Linked DNA regions of Astyanax mexicanus. The protein of the gene in region 2 purifies or fractionates together with the protein of the main gene of each other region. This does not show direct contact. Links are inferred from orthologs where the notes say so. Each region holds a gene or a part of one and is shown on either strand. Other genes may lie near its edges.

Evidence for each region.
Region 1: the proteins of atp6v1ab (region 2) and atp5f1c fractionate together in Homo sapiens (co-fractionation; 3 studies listed by BioGRID). This does not show direct contact. The link is inferred for Astyanax mexicanus from reciprocal best matches to the Homo sapiens genes ATP6V1A and ATP5F1C.
Region 3: the proteins of atp6v1ab (region 2) and atp6v1f fractionate together in Homo sapiens (co-fractionation; 3 studies listed by BioGRID and IntAct, with this or other methods). This does not show direct contact. The link is inferred for Astyanax mexicanus from reciprocal best matches to the Homo sapiens genes ATP6V1A and ATP6V1F.

What each region holds. Positions count from the first base shown.
Region 1 is NC_064409.1:21,088,499-21,096,246, reverse strand, and holds the start of atp5f1c (ATP synthase subunit gamma, mitochondrial), read right to left. Parts: upstream 3,094-7,748; 5' UTR 3,024-3,093; coding exon 2,983-3,023; intron 2,482-2,982; coding exon 2,447-2,481; intron 745-2,446; coding exon 613-744; intron 231-612; coding exon 26-230; intron 1-25. Other genes in the region: kin (DNA/RNA-binding protein KIN17), read left to right, coding at 4,018-4,131, 5,103-5,197, 6,623-6,666, 6,789-6,911, 7,652-7,748.
Region 2 is NC_064408.1:95,984,516-95,992,263, forward strand, and holds the start of atp6v1ab (V-type proton ATPase catalytic subunit A), read right to left. Parts: upstream 3,052-7,748; 5' UTR 2,925-3,051; intron 669-2,924; 5' UTR 654-668; coding exon 572-653; intron 63-571; coding exon 1-62. Other genes in the region: naa50 (N-alpha-acetyltransferase 50), read left to right, coding at 5,432-5,439, 7,677-7,748. UniProt on the Homo sapiens protein: Catalytic subunit of the V1 complex of vacuolar(H+)-ATPase (V-ATPase), a multisubunit enzyme composed of a peripheral complex (V1) that hydrolyzes ATP and a membrane integral complex (V0) that translocates protons.
Region 3 is NC_064409.1:35,732,064-35,739,459, forward strand, and holds atp6v1f (V-type proton ATPase subunit F), read right to left. Parts: upstream 2,775-7,396; 5' UTR 2,668-2,774; coding exon 2,510-2,667; intron 1,368-2,509; coding exon 1,166-1,367; 3' UTR 529-1,165; downstream 1-528. Other genes in the region: ragulator complex protein LAMTOR4, read left to right, coding at 4,234-4,236, 4,625-4,705, 4,842-4,959, 6,182-6,279. UniProt on the Homo sapiens protein: Subunit of the V1 complex of vacuolar(H+)-ATPase (V-ATPase), a multisubunit enzyme composed of a peripheral complex (V1) that hydrolyzes ATP and a membrane integral complex (V0) that translocates protons.

The DNA.
Region 1 (7,748 bases), on a different chromosome or scaffold from region 2:
AAATAACAGGAGAAAGAAGCCGTACCTGTACAGCAGACCCCTCAGCTTGTCTCCCACATTCACCACCATCACCTCTTTGCCAGCACCGGAGAGCTTGGCGATTTCATTCTTCATGGCTTTAGCCACGCTGCTGTGGATGGCACCGCACAGCCCACGATCAGACGACACGCCAATGAGCAAGTGCTTGTTCTTATCATCTGTAGCCTTTATGTCAGCCTTCTCATACAGCGCTGCAACACACACAGTACAAATATTACAGTGACAATAAATCACAATAACATCACAGTATGAATGAAATCACAATATGAGCTAATGAAAGCTGAGCTGCTGTATATATCTAAATAGGCCTGTTTCCCCCCCCCGCCAGAGATATTTTTAACATAATGACAATACAATTAAATCATTCTTTATGAACAAAACTTGTTGTATCAATGTTGTGGCATCACAGCATGGCAGCGATAAAGCACCATACTGTCAAGATTATTTGAGTTTGGGAAACTCATTCTGCACATTTGTGATTTGTCAGCAGGTCTCATTGGTGGATTATAGTCTGATGTTATAGCAATGAGATATTTTGCAATTAACAGGCTAAATCTATTCAAGGAAACTTACAGAGAGCACCAGTGCCATAGACACGAGCTGGCTTCAAGGCCCTCTCAGCCCTAGCATACTTGGCGGCGGCCACCATCTTCATGGACTTGGTGATCTTCTGGATGTTCTTGACGGACTTCAACCGAATGGTGACTAAAGATCAAAACAGAAAAGAAATGAACAAAAACGCATCACCGGGTCATACCCCCAGTCAGTCAATATGCCATAAAACAGATGTTACATGCAAGCAAATCAACACAATTAAACTGAATAACATTAGATGCACAATGATATCGGAATTATATCAGTAATTGCTGATAAATGCTTTTTTCCTCCCATTATTTCCAACCTGGTCCTCGCTAAAGCATGAATTGTATGCTGGAAAAGGACCAAACACTGTGGCTACTATGGCACTATGGCTACAGTGATGTTCACTGGGGGCAAACAGAACAGCTCTGCTAGGAGTTCTGAACTTCATAACTGAAGACCAGAGTAATACAGTACAGACATCATACATGTCATATCAAACAGTAGAACCGTCCATATGTAGCTACTAGCCAGCAAAGTTACATCTTAAGGACAGCACAAAATAGCCATTCATTAATCTCAGAAAACAGTTAGCATGCAGGCTAACATGCTCCAGTCCTTACTGCTAAAGTTAGCTGTAAACTAGCATTCCAGCATTCTGTGGTCAATAACTAAAGAACGGAGTGAAATATAGCCATAATCCACTTTTTTATTAAACCACAGATCCTACTAATCTAAACAGCACAGTGCTATCCATCTGTTATCAAACAATAGCTATTAATTCAATTCAGAAATCAGTTAGCATTATGGCTAACCTGCCAGTTTGGGTTTCACAATAAAAGTCTCATGGCAAATCGTATTAAAATGTAAAACCAGCATTTCATTTTATTTGGACTATTTTATTTTATTTGAAACTAACTAAGTAAACTTTTGATCAAAATACAAAATACAAAAAAAACACGTTACTAAAGGTTAATATTTATATCACCTAATATGCCAAGATTTTTGTCAACTGTCTGCCTGACATTACACCTCTAAATCTTGAGGATTTCTATTCTAACATTACAAAAAAAGCTTTAATGTTTTATAAGGAACATTACTGAAAAGCAGAATTGTAATTGTAATAGAAAATATTTAAAAAATATTTACTTAAATATGTCAAAATATAACGAATAAAATCTTAAAATTGTTTTATTCCTAAACTTCATTTTAAAATCAATATTTTCCTGAATATAAATGAAACTGTTCATCTCCTCCAAAACATTCCTTACATTTTCAGACATGCATAATTTGGGTTTGATTCCTGTCACTGACCTGGAATTATTTAGTGGAGTAGAGCATGAACAGGTAGCTCAAGTGTCCAGTTGGATTTTAAAGGCCTCAAATTTTCAGAATGTAAATAAGTTATTTTACTGCAATAAAAATAAGTATTTTGCATCTTCTATAAATGCTTTGTAATTTTTAGGTAAATAAATATGCAGCTTTAAAAAAAAGTCCTTACATACAAATACATACAGTACATCAACTGACTGAGGTTCATCACAAGGAGCTTTTAAGTCAATTATCCCTCAGCTATTTTTTCTACTTAAAATTGTACAGTTTAAAACACTTTAACAGCAGCACAAACAACTAATTTGTAGTATTTAGATATAAAGTCATAAAAGCTATACTGATGTGTAGTCTGTGTGTATCAGACATATCAGTGTGTATATCAGATATATGCATCTGTACAGAATTCCCACATCATTGCATCCCAAACTAAAATAGATAATTATATGTTTAATGAAAATCTCTGTATGTATAAATATAAATGCTTTAGTTTACTTACTGTCCTTCAAGGTAGCCATGTTCCTGACCTGCCCACTGCAACAAGGAGAGGATTCAATCAGTTATATTAAACAGCTTCAGTTTTCTTATAGGGACCAGCATCACTTACATTTTACACTTAAACTATCTATATATTTAGGCCCTAATACTAGATGATATGAAGCAGTCATCAAGCATGTGTAGCTCTAATACAAACAGGTCAAACTGCTAAACCCAACTACAATTTACACAGCTATTTAACTATGTAAACCCGTGTGTTAATTATTTTATTATATTTTGGGTAATATAGGGCAGTGGATAAATGCAGAGGGTTAATATTGATTATAATACTCAGACTGGTGAAGTTCACACTCTCAGGCTTAATCCAGCCGTTGACGTTAAGCTACTGAGGCCTACCGGGACCGGCTCGTCCTTGCGAGCTTCTGACCCGAATAACAGACAGAACCGGGCCCTGAACACCTTCACTGCACAGTAATACTGCTTTACACAATGTCATTAATCAGAAAATGTAAAAATGAAGAGTTTTAAAGGCTTTACCATTGTGGGAGGAACACCACCGCGCTGGCCCTGCAGAACATGTTCACTTCCAATGAAGGTCAGACTGGCCGCACTGCGCATGCGTACAGCGCCTACAAAATGTCGAATCCGGCTGACGTTCGACTCAGTTTACTGAACCGATTCTTCAGGTGATTCAGGTTCTTATTCAAAAACGGTAGATTCACGTTTGAATCGACTCACTTTAATAATATATTAAACGTTTAATAAAAAAAATCAAAATGGTATACTACTGTGGATTACATTTATGAATATTTAATAATTATTTTAAAAAGTCAATCTGTGGGGAAATTCATATCAACCATTAAAAAAATATATATTTGATTATTTGTTATTTTACACACATTTAATATTATTTAAAGCTTATTTTTTTAAATCAGGCTTAAAACCTACTTATATCTGCTGAAAACATACAGGTACATTACATTTGCAAAACTACATTTCTAATTAAGTTTCCTAATTTAGATTATGATTTTTTAGGTGACGTTTTCTGTACATTTATAATGATGTTTTTTATTATGATTTGAAATGAATATTTATTTACTGTATATACATTTAATGTGTAGGATTATATAAAATCCCCCTTTTCGTCGAATGAAGCTATGTGCTGTTTTTGATGCGCAATGGAGAAAATTACGTTATATTTTATTAAATTAAATTAAAACATCAGACTGAAGGAAAAAATACTTATTAAGAGTACTCACCGTATTAAAAGTCTTCAGTCCATAATTTAGTCGTAAACAACAGAAATCTTTACTAAAGCTTCACAGTTTGGGTAAAAAAATTGAAAAGGTTTGACTAATTGAAAGGAACCGATTCAATGGAGTGATTCATTCTGTTCTCTAGCTATTACAGATACACACGAAGTGATGACGTAGAGCGCATACACACACAAACACGAAGCGGCGAGGCAGAAGAACAGAACAGAAACGCAGGAACGGGGCTCTGGAACTGTTAACTAGTTTAGTTTAATAGTAAATTAACGCTTTGTTTATAGGTGTGTAGTCAGGGTTGAACATGGGAAAGGCGGATTTCCTGAGCCCTAAAGCGATAGGGAACCGAATTAAAGCTAAAGGGCTGCAGAAGCTGCGCTGGTACTGTCAGATGTGCCAGAAACAGTGTCGAGATGAAGTGAGTTAACTACAGTTTTCCTTTATTAAGTAGCTGTTAGTTAGCTTAGGTATATTAGTGTTATTTTTATTTTAGTTTCTGTACGGTTTTCTGTTTTCTTTGGTTGTAGTTTATACACTTTGATACGTGATGAGTGTCTGAGTATCGTGATATTGACAAACTCTCATATATAAATTCTAAGCTAGCTAACTAGCTAACAAACGTTATTTACGTTACTGAGTCATATTAGTGTAAAATATACACAAAGCTGTTGTGACACACTTACTCATAGTTTTTTTTAAGTAAAGGGTATTAAAACATAATTTACGCTGCTTTTGTTGGAGTCACTGTCTTTATATTTAGGAAAGACTTTTTCTAGATTCAGAAAATATTACTGTAATATTTCCCCAGCTTCCCAACTAATCTTATTCAAAAGTATTGGATGGAGCTCCATCTTTTCAGAGAACACAGTTCCACTGCTCTACATACTTGGGGTTTAGACCCTTTTAGCTAGAGTAGAATGCTCTGTGCTGGGCTAGAGATTAAATTCAACCCAGACCAAAATTTATGTAATGATATATGTCTTCATCATAAAATTATATAATTTTCTATATTGATGTAAAAGCCATTGCCCTTGGTGTAGGTAATCACACACTGATAGAACTGAGCGATACTGCAAAAATATTACATCACCGCATTTAAAGATAATCTTACGGTACTTAGTATTTTATAGTGTTTTTTGAAGAGATACAATGCTCTAAAATTAGCTAATTAACCAGCAGCTAGGTTATTAAAATGTAGAGCTCCAACACTGTATATCTGTATCTGGATCTTGAAGGGTTGTCTTAATTTTTAGTGGGAGGATTCTTATTTAAACTCTGTTCCAAGGGGAAGTGTTCCACTCAAACAAAGGGGTAGGAATTAGAATTGTGCCATAGTATACCGTCCAATGCTTAGAACAGTGATGTTGATGCTCTGTCTTTCTCAATTAGAATGGATTTAAATGCCACTGCATGTCCGAGTCCCACCAGAGACAGCTGCTGCTCGCCTCTGAGGATCCCAACCAGTTCATGAGCTACTTCTCAGAGTGAGTCCCCCTGTTTCTGAAGGTCACCAGTAGGGGTGTCACGATTCTCTAAATCCTCGATTCGATTTCATTTTCGATTTGAGGGTCACGATTCGATTCGATTCTCGATTTTCTTGTTTTTTTTTTCTTGTTATTATTTTATGCCTCATAAAATTTAAATAATATATTTATTATTATTATTATTATAAATATTATAAATATTATTATTATTATTATTATTTATTAAGATATATATGGTAATGCCATCTAGTGACTTTTTTTGGTAGCAACAGTGTGCACTATTAAAACAAGCAGTTTATCAGAGCTGTGTGTGGATGGCTGGTGAAACTGCTCATTACATGAAGCTGCAGTTCTTCATCCAACCACTAGCAGCAGCAGCACCCCGCTCTCTTCACTCAGTCACTACTTCAGTACAGCCCAGCCACGGGCTACAGAGCTCAGCCAGTCCGTTTTTACTGTTTCTGTAAACAAATAAAGGTTTTAACCCCACTAACCGGATAATACAGCTCACTACAGTTCATCTTTCAGCCCAAGCAGCTAACAGCAGCAGGTTAGAACAGTCGACACGGAGTCACTGCTCGGATTACATTATAAACAGGTCAGTTAGCGCGCTGCTAACCTCAGGATGTTTATAACTACGGAGTTTAGTGGACACACCACGGCCGCCAGGTAAGTCTTTTAAAGGCTACTGAAGACTATTAAAGGCTATTAGAGGTTATTGAAAGCATTATTGGGGGGCAGAAATCAGTACAGGCTGGTTAGATAAGTGATGTTTATTAACGTCATTAAAACAGATTTTGTCAGGTATTGTCTTATAAATATTTACACATAACTTATATCTCTCCTGAAAAGCTTTTATTTTAGTCAGAAACACGCTTGTGTTTACTTTATCTGAGAGAAAGATGTTTTTTTAATTCAATGGAAAGCAACAGGTGTAGTCAATTATAAGTTTAAGATTTTTAATCCACCTCACTGTGATCTATAGTCAGTGTTCTCAAGTCACACTGACACACGCATTTCAGCGAGTTCACACGCTCTCACCTGCGCGCACCCACCCCTCCGTTAGATACAGATACAAAACCTGCGCGCCCAACCCCCGCCCCCCCTCCCCCGTTGGACAGATAAAAACAGTGATCACACTCCCGCCGACTGCGCTCATGCAGCGGCTCTCTATTTAAATGAATAGGATGCGCTGTGTTGGTGCCGCGCCATTTGCGTAGCGCGCTGCGCTATTTGCGTAGCGCGCGCAGGAGGGATCGTCGATCCTCTTTTTGACTTCGATACTCGAGATCGTGACCTCATTTAGATTCGATTTCGATAAAATATCGAGATCGTGACACCCCTAGTCACCAGTCATTAATACAACACTACTTACGTTAATAATCTGTGACTGAAGTTGATAACCTGTTTTAATTTTCTGTACAGGGAGTTTAAGAGTGACTTTCTGGAGCTGCTGAGAAGACGTTTTGGTGAGGCATGGTTTCATGTGATGATCAGCGTATTAAATGATGGTTAAATGATCAGTATGCTGTTATTTACTCTCAGTAATACCTGTCTGTTAAACAGGGTCTGTGTTTTTGTGTGTTTACAGGGACGAAGAGAGTCCACAACAACATTGTATATAATGAGTACATTAGTCACCGGGAACACGTTCACATGAACTCCACTCAGTGGGAGACCCTTACAGATTTCACCAAATGGTTGGGGAGAGAAGGTAAGCACAGAAATATACAAACATGTTTGAGTTATGCATTTAATGAAACAATTGCGGGTACATATGTGACACTTTACATGGAGGAATGTTAAACCCCTGCACAACTTAAGAAATGATATGTCCCATCCATTTATACATATGTATCACTTACAGAGAGACTAGACATCTTGGTATACCTATAAAAGTAATAAAAAATAAATAAAAAATAGCTTTTTAAAACTATCACAGCCACTGTTATCCAGTTGGTCCTGCTTTTTGGGGCATACATTAAATACGTTAACTAGAATTGATTTTAAATATTGGCCATATCGGCTGATGCAGATGATTCTACAAAAAGCATTAATCGACCAATACAATATATCTCCGACATTACTGTGCATCCCTAGTCAGTGTGTGTAAATGACCTCTGTTCTAATTGTGCCCTGTTCAAAAAAGCAGCTGGGGCTGAAAAAAATATACAGAATAACTTATAACTTCAGAGTAAATGTTTAACGCCAAACTTGCTTTTTGTAATTGACTACTTTTTCTGTCTTTCTGACTTATAGTTTAGATTGACAGTGGTGCTATACATGGTGAAATACCATAATTATCGAATGTACAAAAAATAGAATGTACAAAGCATTTCGGCTTAGAGTGAGAATTACAAAGACACCATTCTTCTCCTCACTAGAGTCAGAGGAGCATCAACAAGACCCTGAAGGTAATACGTTATCTATTGTCTGACACATGTGCATATGTAGGGTTTTGTAAAGTGGACGAGACCCCGAAAGGCTGGTATATTCAGTACATCGACCGGGACCCGGAGACCATTCGCAGACAGGAGGAGCTGGAGAAGAA
Region 2 (7,748 bases):
ACTGTGGCCCACACGCACCAGCTCGTACATAGCTGCCCCAGCCATGCTGGAGGCCGTCACCACTGTGAGGGACACACACAGATACAGGTCACTTACATGTAGCAAATCATGTACTATGACCTATAGAGCAAAGCAGTACAACAACTTTAAAATGCACAAACTGCAAAATTCAGGAACAATTATGTCAATAATTTAAAACCATACTGGTTATACATAGATATAATTCTAATTTAATTACCAGAAATGTAACAAAATAAATAAAGAAAAGATCTTACTTAGTCATTTAGCTGACACTAAAAGTAAGATAAATAGTACTGAAAATGATTAGAATGTTAAAATGTGTTATTCAGAAATACAGTGATTAAATATGGCCCGGCTAAAAATTAAACTAAAAGGGCCAAAAATATTGCTATTACATTTTTGCATAACACATACAGGACACATCAATCCATATTTTTGCGACAGCAGCGCACACTTAATCAATCTGACTGACAAATAAAGCATTGAGTAAATTGGAAAAAAAAAAGAAAAAAACATTACTGTCATTCCACACTATAGACAGATTACTGACCAGGTCCGGACACTCCGTGCACATATCCAAACTGTCCCTCCCGCTCCTCATCTCGAATCTTGGGCAGCTTGGAGAAGTCCATCTTAGAAGTGTGTGTCTAAAATGCAGACAGAATGTGAAGGTGGGCACCATTAGTGAAATACAACAGATTACTGACAATTATAGAGGTATTAGATTACATCAGATTATAGCATAAGCAAAAATTAAAGCTTTTAATTGTCAGCTTTTAAACTGAGAATGTCCTCAAGCTTTATGCAAAAAGAAACAAAAATATTCCTGTGAAGCATTAGAGGGTTTCTGTTCTCCATTTGTTTGATTTCTCCTATTGTGGGTTAACTTGTGACTTTTAAAGCTGGATGGACAGTTACAGAAAGTCTAACTTTACACTAAATTCTTTCATCACAGAAGTAGACCTACCTAATTATTAATGATCAATAATCAAAGATGTCAGAGCATAATTTGTACTAAAAAGCACAAACTATTGAATATAGTAATTAAACTTGATAATGAGAGTTTATTTTATATATTTATTCATTTATTCATGCACACACACCTTAAGGCTTGTTCAATATTTAAGTAAAGTTTATTAATACAAAAATCCTCTTAGTTTATATGAACAGTTATATATGCACCAGATTGTGTGATATTTCTGGGGCAGTGATACAGAAATGTCACATGATGATTACCGTGACTGGCTGTAAAGAGGAAGGGGCTAAACAGACAGTTGAGTAATTCTGGAGAGTTTGCACTCATCCCCAAGATTAGCATTAATAGCTGTAGGGAAACAACCAAACCAAGCAGTTTTAGTTCTCAGTAGTTTTCTAATGTTTCATATAAAATACAATATATGAAAAAACAACCACTAAAACTACATGTGCAAATCGTTACAAAAAAACTAAAAGACCCTCTCATGCAACAAATTCTAATGTAAGATGTCTCATTTTTTTCAATATATGCGCTTTTAAATTTAATCAAGCCAACAAAAATCAGGCTAATTTGTCATTAAGAATGGGTGATATATGTTAAGTGCAACATGATAAATTAGACCATGACAGATTTTGCTAAGCTATATTTGGAGTGTGATATGTACGTCTAAATGAATAAATTAATCGTAAAAAGACAGATTAAGATCAAGCCTTTAAAGAACAACAAACAAATGGTAACAACTGCAAAAACTGCTGATTTGACATCCAATTATGACACTCATTTAATTCAATATATTTTTAACCAATGGCTTGTTTTCAGCTTTTTTTAATGTGCTGTTACTGCTTTGTGGTACTTGTTCAGAAAAAAAAAACACAGAAAGTTAAATATCATCATGCATTTCTTAAAGTATCTTAATATTTCTGGCATTACCACCCACCATCCTACCATGTGATCAACCAACACATGATGTAGGGTATGGACGGATTCTCTCCTGGTAAAGCAACATGATCTCCAGACAGAAACCTGATCGTGTGTGTATTGGTTACCTCGTTATAAGCTTTGCCAGTCAAAACATAAAGAAACAGCATATTTGAGCAGTGCTATAGCTGGCAGAATGCTGCAGTCTAGTATTTGGGCCCAAGCACAGTGACTGCAAGTCTCAGCACTGTCCAGTCACATGACCATGACAGGCTACTGATAACATTTACTGCGATTCTATCTTACAAATAAATGACATCAATACAGCGCAATATAGATACTTTTTAAACATGTCAATTTTAAATATGTTACAATAATTAATAACATGTAAAACTGGTGTGATGGAATTTCCTCCTGCTTTACATTTAACGAGATGACTTAAACGTAGTGTAACGTTAAGCGCATTACCTACTACATATGTGTATAATAAAAATGATAAATTAATTAATATTAATCAGAGACTGCATCGTGTATGTATACAATCCTGGGGCGAGCTTGTAGTTTCCCAAGGTTATAATGGGGGAGGTGCAAAAAAATCGCCAGTTTCATATTCGACCACCGCCGTTCCACCTTAAATACTGCATTGGTTCCATCAACATGCTTCAGGATCGTGTACTTATCTAATGCCCTATTTAAGGTGGAACGGAAATTTCCAACAAGAACCAGGCGATTAAGCAGCTAATTTCAGTCACACACAAATTTCAGCCATTTTAACCAACTACCATTCCGTGTTAAATCTGTAAATAGAGAAATTAAGCCAATTCCCGCAAAAGCTACCATAGTTCATTTAAAGCATTTTGACCGCAGTTAACGTCAATGGAATACGACCGAGAAAAAGCACTGAACGTAGCAGGCTGGCTACCTGCAGCCGAGGCCGCCTTAAACCGACCGAATCAAAACACAGCGAGGAATAAAATAACCCTGACATCAAACTACAATCACTAAATACCTGAAATGATGAGGAGAAGCAGCGATCTGTCGAGTCCGTTCAGCTGAAAATAATGATGAGAAATCAGCAACCAGGAAGGGTCAGCTGACTTCATTCACTCGATGGTTGTAGTGCGCGGTGCTCAGAGATGGAGCTTCACTGCGCCACCTACTGCTATACGGTCAGTATAACGACGTGTTTGAGGCTAAATGCAAAAATGGATAATTGTATGTAAAACTCATTATTTGTCTTTTTTTAATGTTGTGCAGAAATAAGCCTTCATCCATTTTTCCCTTTTTAGATTTTTTTCACCTTTGCCCCTCACAATCGGAATTTCTTTACTATCAGGTTTGTGTTACAAGATACAAGAAATGACAAATCTGAAAGATCAAAAGAAGATTAACCGTTTCATTTTTCTTAAAATTAACTAGCTCTTTACCAGCATAGGGTATGTTTTTTCTGGATGATCTTGAGCTGGATTTTATTTTTTATTTTTTGCAGTAATAAAGAAGCATGTAAAACTATACAAATTTACTGTAATGTTTATACTAATTTTAAAAGATTAAGTTCAATAACGTTTACATTTTGTAAAATAGGTATCAGGTAACTTACAACATTGCACACTTAAATTAATTGTTGCTAAATATCGAATTTGTTAGATAGCGTTATTATAAGTATTTTCTTCGGAAACCTATGCTAAGGTATTTTAAGTAACTTATTTTAAATATATAAAAAAAAGAACTAACTTTTCTATCCGACCCGCATTTCACCCAGAGGTGTCACTGAGCCATAGAGATGGCTCTGATTTCACCTTACCTGTCAGGGACTTTTATTTTGTATACTGAAAGCTTCCATAATGTACGCCACGTCCTGTGCTTTATGTCTCCCCGCCGCTTGTGCAGGATGTGAAGTTCGATTCAGTGAATCGAACCGGTTCTTTGAGCTGAACGTTTTGTTTCAATGCATCAAACGTCCGAGTCAGCGATTCATTGATTTATGAGTCATGCCAACTTTATTCTAATGTCCTCCACACAGCAGAAACCAAGTTATACCAACTTTTATTACTGTTAGATCTGGTCTCTCTTGATAACTAAACTATTTAAAGTAAGTTTTGTCACGTGTGTTAAGATATGTATGTTTTTGTACGTTTAACAGAAGAAAACATAAAACAGCTCAGTAAAAAGAACGGTGTCAGGCTATTTTTTAATAAACTCCTTATGACATGAAATAAAAGATATTGACAGACACAACCGAGTATAATAGTGCATCTCTAAAAAATTAAATGTAATTGAAAAGTTACTCCATTTCAGTAATTTAGTTCAAAATGTGAAATTCGTATATAGATGTAATACACACAGAATGATCTATTTTATGCATTTATTTTTTTATTGTCAATAATTATGGCTTACAGCCAATGAAAACCCAAAAATCACTGTCTCAGAAAAATACAATATTATATAAGACCAATTGGTACTTTTGGCAGTGTGGGCAGTGTGCCAAGTCCTACTAGAAAATGAAATCCGCATCTCCATAAATGTTGTCAGCAAAGGGAAGCATGAAGTGCTGTAAGATTTTCTGGGAAAACACTACCTTTGACTTTGGACTTGATATAACACAGTGGACCAACACCAGCAGATGACATGTCCCTCCAAACCATCACTGACCCTCAGTAAATTTTGCATTTCATTTGGAAATCAAGGAACTAGAGTCTGGAGGAAGAGTGGAGAGACACACAGTCAAGCTGCTTGAGGTCTTGTGTAACGTTTCCACAATCAGTGATGGTTTGGAGAGTCATGTCATCTGCTGGTGTTGAAGTCGGTGCAGTGTTTTCATGCCCTGCTGACAACTTTTATGGAGATGTGGATTTTACACTGCCAAAAGTACCATTTGGTCTAATATAATATTCTAATTTTCTGAGACAATGATGTTTGGGTTTTTATTGGATGTAAAATAGAGCACACTGTGTGTTTTACATCTATATAATATGAGTTTCACATTTTAAACTGAATGACACTAGTTTATTTTCTCAGTGAATATCAGAACATTTCCCATTTTTAAATGTCTTCCCTCATTCAGCTATTTGAAGCCATAGAGAAAGATAGAAACAGAAATAATGACTGACAAATCAGAAAACTTATCTTTAAACAATTAATGTGAGAGGATGTCAGACTTCATTCTGTTAAAAAGTCTTTTCAGAGTCTTTTCAGTCGTGTAGTGTATGGACAGCAGTTAATAACGAAAATAGTCATCAGTTGCAGAAAACTCGAATAGCTGCCAAACACGAGATTCAGCGGGGTACTTTTGAACCGATTCGACTGATCTTCTCAAAAGAACCGACTCAGAAGAAGCGACTCGTTCACGAGTGACAGCAGCGGCGGAGTTGAGCGCTGCTAGTCCTTTAGCCAACATACATGTGGAGGGTCCGGAGAGAGGGTAGCTCTGCACAAACTTAGGACTAATCTTCTCCGGATCGGAAATATACTGTCGACGTCCTTCGCAGCGTTCACCTTATACGTGTTCTCTCCAACATGAAAGGGTGAGTAAAAACTCTGCGTTTGTTCATGGAGACTAAAAGTTTTTTCCCTCCTCCTCCTCTCTTCTTTCAGCAGGGGGAGGGGGAGCTGCTGGCCGCGCTAGCCGCCTCTCGGCGCGGGGTGAGAGGGGAGCGTTCACCACCGAGGACCCTGAATATTTTACTGAGAAAACCTTACAGACTGAAACGTGCTCTGTACAAATAAAGTCCACCCGCTGTTACACGAACCACGGTCCCAGCAGATACACCAAACCGCCGCAAAACCCCGTGTGATGTCTATTAGCTTAGCCTGAGCTGAAGTCTGAAAATGTTGAGTCAGACTATGAAAAGCTATATCGCTGGCTATCATGCTAAGCTAAGCTAAGCTAGATAGCTAGCTAATTCGCTAGCTAACCATGCCTGCTCCACAGTAGCTAATAAATGTGTCTGCCCATTCTTAGCTGACAAAGTAACCAACTACTTCAGCTAGCCAACTTTATAAGTATTATGTGTATTTATATTTCACTAACCGAACGTTTAGTTAACTAGCAAGCATTGAGATAAACCATTTGTGTTCTAAACAGTTTGTGAATAAAGGTGGTAGCTAGGTAACGTAGCTTAGCTTAGCTAGATATGTTGGCTAGCTAAATTCCCCACCTGCTTGCAGCAAGTTAGTTAACTAGCTAACTAAGCTAACGAGCATTGCTGTAGGTTATATTAGTTATTCAGTTCACTAGTACATGACAGACAGTGACGGGAGTGATTTTTTAAGTCAACAATCAGTCGACAAAGTTAAATACACAGGTAAACGTTGTTTAGCTATCATAGCTAGCTAAGCTAGCTACGTTACTTCCAGAACCAGAGTCCAGTCTAGTGATGTAGTTAGTTTACCTACTGATTAGTGTCACCTGTGAACTCTTAAGCCTGATACCTCAGTATTTTTTTTTTATTTATTCAGCATTTAACGTCACCTCAGTTCCCACAGAATGTCCCTTTCACTGCTCAATCCATGTCTATCTGGTGCTGATGCTCTTTCTGTCAGTCAGTGTCCCTTTAGTCACTTTGTGCTGAGCTAGTGAAATATTATGTATGTATACAAGTTGAGTTCAAGTCAAGTAGTTTTATTGTCAATACTGCGTGTGTACAGGAAATTACATTACTCTCCTTCCCAAAAAGATTACAAGAAAGTACAGAAAATAAGATTATAAATATTAAAGAATGGGAGACACTATATGTACAATACAACAAGGACACAGATAGACATACGTGAGACAAAAGACACAAGACAATAGTGCAATAGTGAGGGGGGTGTGATTAAAGAGGGAATGACAGTACAAGTATAAACAGAACCCGAGTTGAGTTAAGCTAATTCCTTTTTTTTGTGTTAAAATTAGTGTCACATTTTTGTGTAGTGTTAAAATTACATATTTTATATTAATGTCTTAGTCTATAAGACTAAAAGAGGAGGATTTAAATACATGCAAAATACAATGGCACTTTTGGCACTGTAAGAGGTGACATGCAAATAAGTCTGGGCGATATTGCAAAAAATACATACAAAATACATAGTATGCATTATAATGTTTTTTGCAAGTTGGTTTGCCAAAACAATGGATACTTTTTATAGCTTGCCTCTTAAGAAATAAACACTGTTTTGTTATTCTGCCTTTAAGACTTATATGCATATAACCTGTGATTTAACTGGTTGTGCTTCATTTAAAAAACAGTCCATGCTGCTGCCAGAAGAGAGGAAGTATGTGTGTACAGTATATGCATGTGTATTTAGTTTTTTTGACACAAAAACACCAAATTGAGAAGTTAAGCTGTTTGCATACAACATGCTTAAAAAAAATTGTGAACTTTTTGCTGTCCTCTCTTACCTTTTCCTACCACTGGCTGTGGGAGTGCAGGCCTAAAAACATGACATGCAGCTGTTATGTCGTCATGGTGCATTAGCATGCAGTCGCCCTATAAATACCTCTGTAGTTCTGGTGTCAAGTGCAGGCGACGCAAACTTGTGGTGAACACTACGACTGATAGTCGTGACAGTGTGCTGGGACAGTGGGGTCAAATCCTCGTAGACAGCTAATTGGGTTAGTTTGATTCCATTGAAATAAGCCTGAGTCTGTGAGAGGGCTCAGAATAACTTGAAATGAAGTCTTGCGGTTGTGCACAGTGGCATACTGCTTATTTAAAGTGTGTAGCGAAATGTATTCTAATAAGTAATGAACAACCAGTTGACCGTTCTGCTCTTGTTCCAGTAGCCGGATCGAGCTGGGGGACGTTACCCCCCACAACATTAAACAGCTGAAACGTCTGAACCAAGTAATCTT
Region 3 (7,396 bases), on a different chromosome or scaffold from region 2:
AAGAAGCAATATCATCAGTGATGAAAGAAGAGCATACAGAGATGAACTTCTAGATACATGCATATCACTGTCAATCACAGCAAGAGCTTTGTCAGTCTCCATACTGGTGCTCACATACAATGCATAGATAGGACAGGTAAGTGTTGTGTTGTGTTCATTTCCATACAGGAATGACACTAAAATAGTAGTGTTAATTTTGTGTGTGGCACTGGTATGAATGTATTATGTGGTATTGCCGGGGGTTTTGCTTTACTGAAGAGAAGCAACCTGATCCAACTACATCTCATTGTTATGTCTTGAAAAGATCTAGAATATTTTTACACCATATTTTGCACCACAATGCAGACCATTTTGTTTCTTATTCGTGAACAAGCTATTTTTTTCCTTTCTCCAATGATTGCATCAGTTCCTTTCGAAATGTATCCGAAAGTATTAAAGTTATCCATCCAATCTATTTTAGGGCCTAGGAAGAAATCAAAATAATGCACAAATTTCTGGTGAGAAAAGAAAAAACTGTCACAATGAAACCAGATTTGACATATGCTCTTTAATGAACATGAGACTCTCTCTTGCAGTTATTAACAAATAAGTTAACGCACATATGTATGGACATGAAGTAATATTGAAGGATTAATCAAATACAAAAACAAAACAAAGCAGGATGTATTATCATCAGGTCACCTAATATATGTATATAATAATATGTATAATATTTGATTAATAATTGTATAAATATTAATATTTGTTCATAATTTGATTATACACTCCTAAATGGAAGTTGCTGTAAGTAAAATGGAATGTTTGACAGCTCAGTCTAAATAAATAAACTTACAGATTTATAGATTATATCATTTTATAATTTACATATACCATTTATAATTTAAATGTGACTGAAAAAATATTTGGAATCACAGAATCACAAGTTACACAATCCAGTTAGGTGTTCGATCACTGGTACACACTTACCCCATTTCACTTTATCCAACATAACAGACAAAGACACTAAATAACATACACATTAACACTTACAGAAGTATTCTGTATTTAAACCAACTCAGGCAAGATATGGGAGAGAAATCCATCAAATATCAGCTGCTCTTCATCTAGCGCTATTCCTCTCCCATCTCCTGCCATGTCTAGGTCTTAATTCTTTCAGTTCTTTTTCTTATCGGAAATCTTCTGCAGAGAACATGCCCTTGGCCCTGCGCAGGATGGAGTCCTTGGAAGCGTCGTATGGGTGCTCTTTTGACGGGATTTCCAACACAGCGGGAATGGACTGCATATGGGCATCGATGGCATGGCGGATCATCTCTGCAATGAACTGGTTGATGAGGATGATGCCAATGTCACTGCGAGCCAGGAAACTCCTGTTTCAATAAATAAACAAAATAAATGATACTTGTAAACCAGATTTTGATCTACAACAAATATCTTATATAACATTATGCAGGGAACCAATAGGGTGAATGGACATCATCTTTAATTGTGTTACACTGTCCAGCATGTTTATTTACACTGCTGTGGTTAACATCTACAGAACGCTTTTAGAAATACAATGAAGCTGCTTTTGGTGCAACACAGTGCACTGTGGCAGGCTGCAGCTCTCTCCATTAAAATGAAAAGACCACGTTGAGAAATGTCATGATTCCATCAGGCAAACACTAAGCAAATACTTTGTACATGGCAGAATAGGAAAGAGGAAGTCTGTTCAAGACATCACTCAGTTCAAGTTGTTTTGTAAGGAGGAATAGCCAAAAATTTCCCCAGATTATTGTGCAGAATTATACACCAAATGGGCTGCCAGAAATGTTTGAAGTTGTAGCTGCTCAGAGGGGTCACAGTAGTTATTGAATGCAAGGGCACACATTCTTTCTTTAAAAAAAAGATACTTAGTATTGGATAATTTGCACCCATCTCAGTTGGGTTTAGGTCAGGGGATTGATATATATATATATATATATATATATATATATATATATATATATATATATATATATATACACACAATGGTTTTGACAAAACATTTTAACTTATCGACAACCTATGTCAACGTTATGCTTAAATAAGCACTTCCAGTTTATTTATAGAGCCCTCTCTTCACAATACTGCTATACTCTGTATATATGGATACTGACATACAGGTTAATAGCTAACCCAGATTATTTTAGTTTAGCTAGGCTAGCTGCCTTTATATTGCTAGTTTATTTGTTCTTTAACCGTTCAATAGTTAATTAAATATCTATATGTTACACTAAACTAAAGACACATGGGTCGAACCCACAAGTAACAGTAAATTAAAGCAGGTTTAGCACCCTTTAGCTACTGCTCTTAGCTGCGCCTATAAAGCTAGCTTAGCATGCTAGTTGGCATAGCTAATACGGCTAAAGTGGGGAAACGATCGACGCTTAAATCAGTTCCTCTATAAACATTTCAGACTGAGGACGGTGAGATAAGACTGAAACAGAGCGCGGCGCTGGTGAAGCTCAGGAGGAGGAAAATAAGGTCTTACTTGAAGGTCTCCTCTATCTCTGTGATACTGGTGTCCTTCTCCACCACCAAGAAATTGGGTTTACGGTTCTTGTTGAGCTCTCCGATCCCCCCCAGCAGGAAGCCCGTGCAGGTGTCCTCATCCCCGATCACTGCGATCAGCTTACCCCGTCCAGCCATGGCGGATCGCGGCGGTGAGAAGAAATATCAGCAAATAACAGACAGAAATCTATCCGCCTACTCCTGCTGCTGTCTTCACCCTGGATCATATGCTGCAGTCAGCTGACCAGCACTTCCGCTTTACCTTCCACAGCAGAGCTAAAATAGCTGACTGATCTCAGATCAGACTCAACACCACCAGCACTGCTGCTGCCAGATACTACTCAGGGCATTACTCCAGAATGCACAGACCCAGGGCCAGGGCTAGCCATCCAGGCTCCCTAGGCAAAATTCTTTGTGGTGCCCCAACCCACTTTTTTTTCCTTAGTTTGAGCTCTCATTACTCCACAATGCTACAGTAATACTTGATACTTATGTCATTAGTAGAATAGAAAGGCTTCTTTGAGAATGTAATGGTATCTTTTAATAACAGTTTGATTAGCTGGTTTTATAGAACTCCAAATCTGGTTTATGCAAAACCAAATGGGCATTTTTTTTCTAGGTTTAACGTCCCATTATTCCAGAATGCTATAGTAATATCACATTAGCTATTATAACATGAGAATGGGATCTTTATTAATTTAGTGGTCTGATATGATAACTCTTTGATTTTCTTGTTTTATAGGACCAAATTCTGATCTATATACAACCAAATAGGCAATTTTCATACATTTGCCGTCCCATTCATTAAATTTCTTACAGTATGATTACTTGAACATACATAATGAAAATATAATAAGTGTTCTTCCGTAGTAAGGGTCGCCACCTATCAGAAATGAAAATAAGGGACACCCACCAAATAAATAGATGATTACAAATATATGTTTATATACATGTATATACATATATATGTGTTCATTAACTTATTTATTACTGGACAGCACTTTGGTCAGAGTTTGTTGTTGTAAAATGTGCTTTATAAATAGAATTTAGATTTTATTTTATTTTTTTTATATTTTGTTTTTTATTTTAGTGTTCTTTATTTATTTTTTGTTTTTATCTATTTTCTTATTAAGCTTTGCTTGTTTATTTATTTTTATTTTGTTTATTTTAGTTTATTTTTTTCATTTATTTATATTTATTTTTATTTAGTTAGTTAGTTTTTCCTTTTATTTTCTTTATTTATTATTATTTTTTTCTTACTATATTGTTGTTTTCTTATTTTATATTAGTTTAGTTAAGTTAATTATTTTCTTTCTTATTTTCTTTCTTATTTTTGTTTATTTTCTTATTTGGTTTTGCTTGTTTTGTTTTTTTTACTAGTTTATTTTACTATAGTTTATTACTATTATTATTATTATATTATATTATATTATTATTATTGTTTTAGTTTAGTTTAGTTTATTATTTTATTTTAGTTGATTTATTTTATTTTATTTCGAGTTGATTGCACGTAGAACAAAAAAACTGAAGATACTTCACAAAGTAGTAGTAGGAGATGATTTTATGTCAGTAGGCGGCGATGTGTTCACACACCATGTGACTCACCACTACAGAAGAAGCCTCCAGCGTCACGTGAGAGACACAAGACGGAAAATAATAATCGTTTGTATCTGTTCCTGATCTGACCTGAGGGGAGGACCGACCATGGTGTGTGAATTTGCTTTATTTTCTCTTTTAAATAGTAGATTTTTCTTTAATAGAGACTCTCTGATGTGTGTTCTGTTGGTAGAAGCTCTCCGGGGTGTGTAGTCAGCTGTCAGCTGTGTGTGTTTTGTTAATAACTGTAGTTCTGTAGTTTTCTTTCACTCTTCTCTGCTGCTCCTGAAACAGCCCCTAAACAACACATCACATCCAGTAGTTACACATAGTGTCTTTATTCACTGTTTGTCTTCTGGAGATTGAAGTTGTTTTAATGTTATAAAGCTGGTCCTATTTTCTCTCTCTCTCTCTCTCTCTCTCTCTCTCTCTCTCTCTCTCTCTCTCTCTCTCTCTCTGTCTCTCTCTCTTCCTCTCCCTCTCCCTCTCTCCACTGAAGACCACAGCACTGACTCAGGGTCTGGAGAGAATACCTGATCAGATAGGATATTTGGTGATCAGTGAGGATGGTGTACTTGCAGTAAGTGTTACTCATTACTATATGTACACAAAAAAATGACTTTTTTTCACTTGTAGCAAATTTAACAGAGCTGAAGAACATAAGCATTAAATTGAGAGTTCACAGGAGGCTTTTTCTGTGCTTTTTTCCCTCTCAGTCTTCAGGAGAGCTGGAGAACGATGAGCACACCGCAGGGGTTATCATGCAGATGGTCCGAACAGCTTGTCGCTTCAGGCTTCATGGAGCAGCAGAGCCACCTTTCAAGCGCATGTCAGGTTAGAGATTTTGAATGACCATAAATCTCTGTATACCAGGGTTCAGATTCTCAAAGACCACTTCAAAATTCAAGCAGTTCAGCTTAGTTTAATGGCTTGTGTTTTTCATCTGTTTCTCTGCATATTGTGTCGGCCTCCTTTCACACTGTTCTTCAATGATCAGATTATCATTCTCAGCATCACACTGATGGTGATGGTGTGTTAGTGTGTGTTTCGCTGGTATGACACTCTATGTTCACTCTATTAAACAATTCTACCTAGCTGCTTCACCGTGTAGATGTAAAGTTAGAGAGAGAAGCTCTTTGGTGCTGCAAAGTTTGTTGGTCATCTTTGAGCCTCATCTGTATATGCAAAGGTTTGAAAGTCAAAGGTTTGGACACACATTAAATTTAGTGTATTTTTTATCAGGATAAAATTATCTGCCTTGTAGATTAATACTAAATTTAACTATGAAGAAAAACTTGGAATTATTTAGTAAAAAGTGTTAAATAAACCAAAATATGTTTTATATTTTAGATTCCTCAGAGTCACTCTTGCTCTTGCTTTGCACATCTTGGCTGGATTTTGTCAGTCAGCTTTATGAGGTAGAATCACCTGGAATGGCTTTCAGTTAACAGCTGTGCTGAACGTGTCAAGAGTTAATTACATGAATTTCTTGCCTCTTAATGTGTTTGAGAGTATCAGATGTTTAAAGTGAATAGCCATATAGTTCTTCCATATTATGGCAAGAAATACTCAACTAAGTAAAGATAAAAATACTTTATGTTGAATACTTGAACTAAATCTGAAAAATTCCAAGAAATTTGAAAGTATCCTCAAGTGCAGTTGCAAAGACCATCGAAAAAATTATGATGAAACTGGCTCTCATCAGAACCACCCCAGGAAGGGAAGACCAAAAGTTACCTCTGTTGCACTGCAAGAAATTGCAAGTTAACAGCACCCATCTAAACGATTCACACAATATTTTGGTTTGTTTAACACTTTTAAGTTTACTACATGATTCCTTCTGTGTTCCTTCATAGTCTGAATGACAACGTAGGGAAAAACAAAATAATAAAAACATTGAATGATAAGGTCTGTCCAAAACCTGCCCAAACCACAGAGCAACCTGCTTAAAGTTATCCTGTTTCAAATCATTAGTTGATTCAATGCATAGTTAATGACTGGTTTTACACAAATAATAATGTTGTAATATCACACTCTTTGTATTTTTTGTCCACAGTGATGTTCGAGGACTATATTTATGCAGTGACGATTTCTGGACAGAAAGTCTTTGTAGTGAAACGGCAGAACAACCAACGGGAACCTGTTAATGTCTAGTAGCGAGGTGCCGTTACAAGTTAACGGACTACACACACGCTTGTAAAGTGCCATCTGTTTAAATAACACACATATATAACATGATAACAATGTAAAGTTAAGAAGAGTCATACTGTAATTCTTATAGTGTGCTTTTTTTGTCTACAGTTAGGGATTCATTTTCTAGTTGCATTTTCCCCCACAACTGGTGGTAATAAATGGCATGAAAATGTGGTCTATATAATTGTTCTCACACTTCACAGAAATATTGCACATATCTGTGACATTTTCACAGTGACTGTAACAGCGTCTCACTTTTGCAAAACCTATTTGAACTACTTTTTAAAACGAATTGAATTGATTAAGCTCCCCTTTTATAAGTATATGACATCTTTTGGGTTATGTCCAGTTGTCCACATAATCCAGAGGCACTTCTGCTTTTTTCTGAGGATGATGGCACTGATCTTTTATTATTATAGATATGTGTAATTTTCTCTGTGGGTTTGATGATCTATACAGCCCTGAAGATCAGGCTGTTTATTCTTTGTTTGTTCCAGCTCTTCCAGAAGTGAAAGTAGCTAATGTCTGTATTTAACAAACCTTTATTAAATTACTGCTTTTTAAAAGTAATATCATGAACTAATTTCTCGGTTTTGCTGTTTAATATTGCTTCTGCTAATTTATGTTCATGTTCTGAGTAAAGTATTATTGCAAGTGCTGGTGGGTAGCAGGGGGAAGCAAGCAAATGGTTTTCTTAGATGGGTCAGCCCGGAAGTAACTGAGACGTGATGTGTTTTATTAACAGTGCTGAGCCCATTCTGTGGGTTGTTGGAGTTGATTTAAAAGGTAGAATAAAATATTATAAAATAATCTGCTGTGAGTTGATCATTTAGCACTGTAACACTGTGACCTTCCCTTTGACTGATGACTCGTCTAAGAGGTAACAAAGGACCCCACAACAACATCCAAAGAACTGCAGGCATTATTTGCCTCACTTAAGGTAAGCGTTCATGACTCCACTGTAAAAAAGAGTCTGGGCAAAAATGGTCTGCATGGCAGTGTTCCTAGACGAAAACCACTGCTGAGCAAAAAGATCATGCTTGTCTTAATATTGCCAGGAAAAGGGCAAACACTTTTT